2 linked regions of the Drosophila melanogaster genome follow. The protein of the gene in region 1 purifies or fractionates together with the protein of each later gene. This does not show direct contact. Each region holds a gene or a part of one and is shown in the gene's direction. Other genes may lie near its edges. The genes, in order: Gfrl and mav.

Region 1 (4,865 bases):
ACCGCGTTGCCAGGACACCGGCCAGGACTCATTGTTTTGGCAAGGAATCGCTTTGATTTCACGCGATAATTACAACGTGCTCCGCGAAGAATTATTCCGACTTGGGTTCGTGCAGCTATTCAGGTGGCAAACTTCGGGATCCTCAATCCCTGAGTCCGCCCACCAATTCTGGTGGAATCGGAGCGTTTCCTTGAGTCCTTTCGACGGCCAGTATTTATAGCCCCGGCGACATTTTGACATGCCGGGAGTGCCGACGCCCAGAGCCAATTTCTTGACCCCTGGCCAATTTTGACCCATTCTTTTAGGTCTTGCAAAGAGGAATTAATATTTTTGGAAACACTTATTACTCTCTGATTTATGGAAACTATGGTTTTATTTAACTAAACGTTAGTAAGGAGGTGTATTTCTCACATCTATATCTTGACTAGCTACAAACATTTATAGAAAAGATCATTTTAATTTTAAATTTGTATTAAATAAAAGATTCAATATTGCAAGACTTTTAGCATAAGTACGCAAAATTCCTTAATTTAAATAAAATATTTTAAAATTATCCCACCCAGCTTATTTCCATATATTTTGATACAAAACTCGATTGCATATCACGACATATAAATAATAAGCTGTGAAAGTATTTTCGGGAACTTTTGGGTTCATTTTTGTTGCGAATATTTTTTGTCGATGCCCTTTCATTTTTTAGTTCTAGCCAGCAAAATGGGCTGGCGGGTGTGGGTGAAGTGTCGAAGGGTTATCCTTTTTTGTGTGTGTTTCTTTTGCCAATTACCGCACGCTTCGTGAGGCATGGTCGCCGCTTCGGGCACTCGCTGCGTATACGTAATTTTTATTGGACACTCTCACGCGTCGTCATCCATCGTCTGCCGTCGTTTCCACCATCCATCCATTCGTTTTTGTGTCACGTCGTGAGCTTTTGGCTCGTACGCAGAGTCCTAGGCCAACACGAGAATTTTAATAAGAAATCTGATAAGTAAGCTCTAAATGCGTACGTTATTAAACAGAAGTCATTTGTATCTAATATCCATTAGGGTGACGTTTGTATAGCTTGATATCAAAACATAAAGCTTTAATAATATAAATTTAGAAATGTTCTCACTTACATACATAATTGAAGTCTATTATGGACTTGACATTTGAATAACGCTAACAATACGTTTTTGTATATTAAAATACCAAAAGTACTTATAATTTTGCAAAACTACAGTAAACTTTTTAAAGGAAATGTTTAAAATGGAATAGAACTTGCGAAGCGAGTGACTTTCGATACAAGACCTTGTTTCCTACAGTTTGAGAGTCATACTCTGCTTATTCCACGAAAAAAACGAGAATGGAGAGGGAACTTACTCGCCGAATGTGCAACCAAAACAAAACGGATAATTGTTAGTGTCCTTTCTCTCTTTTACTCTCAGCTGGAAATCTCTGACTTTACAGCTGTTATTTGGACTGTTAATTTACATTTGCCGATGGCCCAGAGAACTCGGAGCCGAGTCCTTAGAGCTTCGTGCGGTGAAAGGACCCGACTTCGTACGGGCCAAACAGTTTTCGACTGAGACTCGTGACGAACGGACGCGCGGCCAATGGCAAGCGGGCAGTGCGATTCAATTCGATGCGAATTCGACTCTAGCGGAAGCGGAAATACGAATGCCAGCGAATTGCCAATGGCACGGCTGATATGTGTGCGTGCCGCGAGCGAGGATCGTCGAGTCGAGTGAATGGAATATCCAGAAACGTCGATCGCAATCTTCGAGTCAACACGGAGCTAAGCTGTAAATCATAAAGTGTCAGTCAGAAAAACCAACAAAAATCAGTCGAGTGTGCTTTCTTCGCCCGAGATTTGTGCCACTGCATACTATAGCCCATAGTATATAATTTAATTTGCCAAATGTGTTGGAAAATTGTATGGCCCGGCGAAGGGGAAAGTGGCAAGCAAAGGAAAACTCCGAGCAGCAGCTGGCAGTGCCGCACGGCTTACTGCTTACTGCTTATGCTGGTAATGGGTTAATGCGGTTGAGCACTCGCATGCCTTCACGCTTATCCCCCCACCACCCATTGCCCCTCTTCCATCTCACATCGCTCCGAAAAAGCAAATATTTCATGTTATTTACCTAGGTGCGCCACTTTCGTTAATTGTATGCAAAAAAGTTGCCAACCTTATCCCCTCCCACCACACTATGGCACACTCTCCGTGTGTGAGTGAAGTGAAGTTTTTGGCTCAGGTTTATTCGCTACAACAACTTTCGGGTGGCTGGTTCAATTACAAACCCCTGGCCCACGGCCCACAGCCCACAGCCCACGGCCCATCGCATATCGCCTGCCGCACTATTTCCGCTCTAAAATTTGAGCCAACTTGCCGTTGCCAGCTGGGCTCCTCTTGGTTTAGTACTGTTTCAGCAAAGCAAAACCTGTTCCTGCGACGTTGCTGCGCCTCACTTAGTAAATAAATTGGCAATCGCATTTAATGTGAGTTTATGTGCGTCGATACCTTGGGTCGACTGCTCGGCTCGGCTCCTCTACTCTGCCATTTGGTAGTTATTTCTTTTTTTTCGGTTTCTTGGCTCGTGCTCATGTGCAAATCGTAAATTCACGTTAATGCCGAAATTTCACGTGATAATGACGTGATTACCTGGCGCACACACACACACAGGCCCACAATGTGGCGATCCATGCACATGTCTCCATGTCCCCATGTCCTCATGTCTCACCATGTCGCCTGCCTATCCTTGTCTGCCAGGACTAGGGGCATAAATACGTAACATCCAACTGGGAACTTGGTACTGGTAACTGGTAACTGCTAACTGGGAACTGGTAACTAGGAACTCACTCCGATGGCAGCTCAACTGAAAAATGAGTGCCCCTAAAATAGTTGCAATGCATTCAACTGAATCGGAGTGCGGTGGTAGTCCTGGCCGGGAATTTCTGGTTAGGCCCAAGCGTAAAATTGTTGGCGTAGTTCCCAAGTGCTGTTCAATGAGTTGGAGTTGAAATTGCTGCAATTGTTCAGTGCCACCGCTCCATTCGTCGTAATCCATTCCCAATTTAAATGGCAAAGGGGTTCTGTTCTGATTTTTTTTAAAGCGTTGCCTAACTGTCTCAAAGTTTCTTTGCAATCGCGTAATTTGGCCGTATTCTTTGCGTTTTATTTGCAACTTTTTAATTACTTTTGAGTAGCGATTTGAACTTTGCGCCTGTCGCCCGTTTACACTCTAATTAAGCGGCCCATTCAAGGGCTCTGTATTTTGTATTTATATCCTTTTGCTCCTGCTCCTGTTTCTTATCGCGCCAAGTAAAAGAAGTTCTCGGCTTTTAAATGCAGCTGTCGCAAGTTGGTGGCGCTTTAAACGTTCGCTGGCATTTCCGTTTCCGTTAAATCGCTCCTAAGCCAGTTTGTTAGTTTTACCTTGACATTTTATGCAGTTTTTCTCGGTGTTATATGTATGTATTTTTTCTAGCTACCTTTTGTGTGCCTTTGTTTTGCTTGTTACCTGCGCGCAATTTTTTCTAGGTACACAGAAAAAATAATCTTAAAGAGATTACGAGATTATGATACCACCTAACTTACATTTGGATGTATAAATAAATTTTCTCATAACTTAGGTCTAGCCAGTTTTCACTTTAGTGGAGTGTTAATAAATTTGTTAAGTTAAATAAATTAACTTACAAAAAAAAAAAAAAAGTTCAAAGAATATCGGTTTCTGACTTCATTCTTTGTGGTCAATCTGGGACATGCCATTATTTAGATACTTTTTGTTTCAGCTACATAAATTGTATTTATTTTGTGAACAACAAAAGAAGTACGCGAAGGTACGCAACTCCAAAGTGAATTATTTCGCCGTGTGTAGTGGCGATGGCAGCAGCTGCTTGTGGAACAACTTTAACATTATTTGCTTTGCTGCAACACTCCCCCGCACCCTGCTCAGCGATCCGTGGCCTTTGTTCGTCTCCGGACTCCTTTCACTTTGAGTTCCCCGCTGTCCGCACCCGAATCATGAATCATTTCTGCCGCTGCACCCACCAACTCCCATCAGCTCCTGCCGTCCTTTTGGCCACATCTAAGTGTTGTTTAATGCAGCTTTTCAACTCATTCGCTTTGACATACACGTGTGTGCCGTGTATGGTTCTGGGTTCCGGCTTCCACTTTCAACTTTCTACTTTTTATTTGCCAACCTTCCAACCTTGGTGCCTTTGCATGTAGCATCAGATTTGCTTATGCAAATGCGTCGCCGAGAAGGGGATTTGCCATTTGCACCGCTCGTCCTCGATCGAAATGTTTACGGTTTCTATTCGAAGAGGGCTGATGTCATAGCTTGTCGATGGCCAGTTTAAATAATTGCCACCGCAATAAATTATTAAATCAACAACAATTACTCACTGGCCGGCCAAAGGGAATCAATCAATGCTTGTGGGGGAGTCGAAAATCGAGTGAAATTAAGTGATGTGGAGTGGAGTGGATTCATAAGCTGACAAAATGCCAGCTCACTCCATGCACCGTAGGTGTATTATAACGAGTTTCATGACAGCAATTATGCGAGGTCGGCACCGCACTCCTCCGCACACACACAAACACACACTCCCGCACATATGAATACTTATTATTACGCATACGCAGTGGTGCCGGAGCAGGCTAATGTGTGGTTTGGGCGTTGCTTTTCGAGGGCTTTGTAATCGATATTACAATGGCATTGTGTTAGGGCCTCGATATGCTGGCAGTACAGGTATTTTTTCAGCCTTTTTATCGCTCCCTGCACCGCGTTCAATGGATCTGGGCGTATAATCGAAGGGTCGTGTTTGCCCGGGGGAGTTGACAATGCATGTTTAATGTACTTTGCCAGTAATTTGTTATTAATAATACA
Region 2 (5,433 bases), on another chromosome or scaffold:
CACAAGAAACAGGTTACTGATCCTTCCCATGAATATATATGTTATCATAAGTAGGCAGAAGTGCCGCTATAAATATTTGAATATGAAATTGTAGTTTAGTTTTAAACACAGCTCAAAAGTGATCAGTCGTATTCTGATGCACTTAATAAAGAATAATAATTATTATTTGTCTTAACTTAATAAGTGCTTAATTTATATACTTTATATGTATGGTCGGAAAAGCTTCCTTTTGCTTTACGAGCAAAGGTCATAGCGATGTGGAAAATTAGATTAAGATTGACGAAGTGGTCATCATTTTGCTCTACAAAATATCGCACTTACGTTAATCACATTGAGACAAGTTTTTTACAATCACTTTGTAAACCTCCCAATTCAAAACGCATCCGTTTGCATCCCGGAAAGGCTTCAGGGTGTTTTCCGAAATTAATATTTCTAGGATATTTACATATATTTATTACAAAGCTTTCGTGAACTTCACTCAGTAATGTTTCTTAAATACGTTTAGAAATCGACCACACGGATGCTTTTGAATGTCTTATATCTAAACAGCAGGAAAAGTTCCCAAAGAATATAAAAAATAAATACATTAAGTAATTCAGTTTTTATTTTATTGAATATTTTTTATATACATATTTATGAATAATGTACATATATATGTAATGTACCTGAAAAACATTTCTCAGACACCAGAAAACCAAAGACCCTAGAATAAGAATTCTAGTGTCTTTGAGAAAACTCTGACGATTCAAAATGTAAAATGCAAGTTAAGAGAAACAAAAATACAGAGAGGAAAAAGTGCTAGGCGCTTCTTTGTTCTTTTACTATGTCTTTTGTCATTTATTATTCCTAAGTACCGTTTGATCAGCAATTTGCCTGCCTTGCTTACTATGGAGTTCAAAAATATAGGGTCAGGAAACATAAGCACAGACTAGAATCTTATCCGAATAGTCTAGCTAGACGACTAAGTATCGCAGCCCAAAGCCATCGGAGAATAACGAGAAGAAGATTGAAACGCCACCACCCTCAAGACCTGACTAACCGAGACTTCACATAAAACTTACTTAATTATAATCTTCTAAATATTATAGCCTCACATTCCACTTCTTGAATACTCATAATCATATAATCTTTGTAAATAACTTAGATATTCAGATTCGTTTAAATTGATACCGATTAGATTAAGTTGTCTAAGAAGTACGCTGGTCAATTAAATAATTTCGTTTAACAAATTTAATAAAAAAAGGAAACATAAATGTACACACTTTTCGAGAAAATATTTTATGTATAAGAAATCCCTATTCAATAATTTAAGGTATTTTAGAAAATATATCAATATTCAATATTTAAATACGAGTAAAAAAATCAAAATATAATTTAAAAAAGATAATAGTATTCTGCTACAACTATGCTTAGGGAAAACATAGTTTTTGGTTGTACCTGAACATGCGCGATTGGAAATATGAGCCATATGCCACCTTAGGGTTTTTAAACCAGTTACTCGAAAACCATATAACAGACAGAAGGAAACGTTTTCGAGCAAATCAGGATCAATAGCCTAGTCGAACTGTCTGTGTCCGTCTGTCCGTATGAAGGCCTCGATCTCAGGAACTATAAAAAATAGAATGTTGCGATTAAGAATGCAACTTCTAGAGACAGAAGCAGAGCAAGTTTGCCACGCCCTAAAACCGCCCAAAACTGCCACGCCCACACTTGTGCATTTTTTTTATACTTTTAGTTTTGTAAATTTCTATTGATTTGTCACTTGTCTTGCCAATCTCTATAGGTACACCAAAAACACTTTGCCATGCCCCACACTTTCGAACAATTCGAAACAATTTTTTCTCCGAATCCGATCTGGTTATGGGAAAGGGAGCAAAGCCTATCCTGGGAATGCACGGCGGGCGGAGTATAATCAAGCAAGATGTAAGGGATGTTGCATGTGAATACGCCTGTACACAGGTACACACAACGCAACACCCAGAAAATCTTGTGTTTGTAAGACGTGCATGAGTCCACTGCAGATGTGTGGGTGTGTGTGGGGGTATGAGACTAATGTTCATATTGCTGCTGTTAAGTAAGCATTTGCTGTGGGTATTTTAGTCGAATTTGAAGCAATGTCCGAACAGGTTCCGTATCGATGTGTACAAGAATGTTAATGAGAGTGCGACCGAGACGAAAATATATACACATTTTCGAGGAACTGTGATCATTTATTTACTTTACCGAAAGAAATTTTTTGTTTCTTTAAATTAAGTGCCGTAAACGAAATCCCGAAAATAAGATCAATGCAATCAACAAACTCGTGCAGATTTAACCTAATAAGTAATGGTGTGGATGTGAACATTTTTACAGAGATTCTGAGCCTACATACATATGTAGATACTTGCCAACGTTCATTAGTATGTATATACATATGTAGGCATGCGAATGTGTAATTTTGAAGAAGAGTACATACTGGAAGATTGATCGACTGGAAGAACGATAATCATTTTTATAATTGACATTAGCAAAGGAACCCTAATGGCCATGCGGAGAAAACATGATAATAGACATTAATCCAAACTTAACGCCAAAAAAGGAAACAGCTGTGTGGTGCGACTCTTTTCAACATAAATGTAAAGTTAGTAACCGTACAATAAAAATATTTCCATCGCTTTTGAACAAGTCCAACTGGATCGTTAGTATTTTGTGGCATATTTGTGTTCACCATACCATAACTATAAGAAACTCTAAAGCACGAGAACCTCCTTGCAAACATCCGCCTATTACTGATAATGCTGAGGCTAAGCTCACCCTAGTTTGTAGTAGGTCACTAAAGCTTTACAAAATATGGTTTATATTGATTTTATTGATGTCAACTCAGCATCAAGTCAGTGGCCATGGCATATTCCGCCAAACGTCAAGTTCAAAAGCAGTATTTTCATACTATCAGCCTAAAGAAAATATTACATTTACCAATTTGCAGCTTCAAAATTTAGAAAATGAAGCTAAGAGACTAGAAACAAATCAACATCCAATAATCCGAGCCAAATCAACTCCGAAAATGGGTCTTAAAAATGTATTTGAAAGCTTTAGCAAACAAAGCAGAGACTCAATCTACAATGCCAGTTCAAATAAATATAGTCTGATTAATGTAAGCCAGTCAAAAAACTTTCCTCAATTATTCAATAAAAAATTGTCAGTTCAGTGGATAAACACCGTACCAATTCAAAGTAGGCAAACGAGGGAAACTAGGGATATCGGCCTAGAAACTAAGAGGCATAGTAAGCCATCAAAAAGAGTAGATGAAACCAGACTAAAGCACCTCGTTTTGAAGGGCCTTGGAATTAAAAAACTACCAGATATGAGAAAGGTAAGATTTAAATTACAGCTATTGTCACGTCCTGTAAAAGAAAGCTGTGCAGTGTTATGCCAAACCGTATACAGAAGGGTCCACCTAAAGGATATTATTTATTTACAGGTCAATATAAGCCAAGCTGAATATTCCAGCAAATATATAGAATACTTAAGTCGCCTAAGAAGTAACCAGGAGAAGGGCAACAGCTATTTTAACAACTTCATGGGAGCTTCCTTTACAAGAGACCTACATTTTCTAAGCATTACCACAAACGGATTCAATGATATAAGCAACAAACGATTGCGCCATAGAAGGTCGCTTAAAAAAATTAACAGATTAAACCAAAACCCAAAAAAGCATCAAAATTATGGAGACCTACTACGTGGCGAACAGGATACAATGAATATTCTTTTACACTTTCCATTGACAAATGCACAAGATGCAAATTTTCACCATGATAAAATCGACGAGGCCAATGTTAGGCTTATGCTTCTCTATAGTTCATCGTTGGCAACAAATTTCCGACGAGGGCCAGGATCTAGGAAAAATAAGATCAGTCAAATTTCCGGGAATGATAACATCGAAAGGCACTGTAATTTTGGTGATGTCAATTTGAACCAATCTAACAAAAATAGTAGCCAGCAATTAACTTTAAAAGTATATCAACTTCTTTCAGCGAATAGACGAAGAAAGATAACGTCTCGTAAAATTGAATTTGGAAATGTTGGCTTCCAAGAAACTCGAACACAGTGGATAGAATTTGACGTGACCAAAGCTGTTCGTAGTTGGTTGAACAAAAGCCATGAAAACTTGGGGATAGAAATTCAATGTGATAAATGTAAAAGTATAGGGGCTCGTATATTGAGTGATTTCAGCCCGTCAACACCACCACGCTCGACCGCCTCAAGCGACGAACACTTAAACCTCATGCCAGTTCTTAATATAATTGGACACGGAACGCTGAATTCCCAACAGCACGGCGACGCGGATATTCACCAAATCATGCTGACCAATAATAGAAGCGATCAATACGTGCATCACCGTTCAAACCATGATAGCACCTGGAGAAAAGATAAGTGGACCAACAACTGTTACAAATTGCACCAACGATGTTGTAGAAATCAATTGGATGTTGCCTTTAAGAGCATTAAGGGATTCGAATTCATTTTACAGCCGAAGGTATTCGATGCAGGGTACTGCCACGGAAGATGTCCACCACGTCACAATCCCGCCCACCACCACGCCCTACTGCAAAGTCTGATATGGCAAGAAGATCACAAAAGAGCCCCCCGTCCATGCTGTACTCCTTCAAAGCTTGAGATGCTTGAAATATTGCATGTTGACGAAAACCACAGCGACAAACTCAAAATTTCGACATGGAGTGATATGCAGGTTGTAGAATGTGCCTGTTCGTAAAAAAAACTTTCTCTAACGAATTATTCTTACATACATATTCTATTATTCGTTTTTAAGTTTTGTTTCTCATTTGGTTCAAATTTTGTGAATTTTTAAACATGTAACAATGCTGAATAAATAGAAATATTTTTTGTTCGTATAGCGGCATTTACAAATTGTGTGTTTTATTACCGCTATTGCACTAATGACTTTTGGCGAATTCCTTGAGGGAAGATAAAGACGTTTAGATGTAGAAGGCAGTCAGTCCTATGCAAAAACCAGTGATGCGCAGGAATCACTAAAAGCTGCATGATTGCAGTCCTGATAATATGAGAAAGAGGTCTCGAAAAGCGTGGTTAGAATGATTTGGTTTTTGCTAATCGTAAAAACAAAATGACTACTTTAACAAATCGAAAAGAAATCTCAGTACATCAGGCGCACATTGATTTTCCTGTCGAAGTTTGGGGAGCGCATAGGAAAAGTACTAGTTTTTTTCACGTGAATATAAAAAAATGTGGCTAGGTACATTGCATCAAACGGCTTTTTATAGTGTTCAACAAAAATCCAATAGTTTGTATTTTTTGAAAATATAAGGAAATTGATTATATACAATCCAAAGACGAAAGAAAAAATTGTCTGCACTGATGCACTTGTTTGTTTGATTATTAATTATTAAGAATATGTATATAAATGTTCTAACA

What was found.
Region 2: the proteins of Gfrl (region 1) and mav purify together in Drosophila melanogaster (affinity purification with western blotting, with the first as the bait; one study listed by BioGRID). This does not show direct contact.

Annotation. Positions count from the first base shown.
Region 1 is NT_033777.3:20,446,375-20,451,239, reverse strand, and holds the start of Gfrl (glial cell line-derived neurotrophic family receptor-like), read left to right. Parts: upstream 1-1,552; 5' UTR 1,553-1,781; exon of another isoform or gene 1,782-1,795; intron 1,796-4,865.
Region 2 is NC_004353.4:622,691-628,123, reverse strand, and holds mav (maverick), read left to right. Parts: upstream 1-2,092; 5' UTR 2,093-2,539; coding exon 2,540-3,352; intron 3,353-3,460; coding exon 3,461-4,753; 3' UTR 4,754-4,905; downstream 4,906-5,433.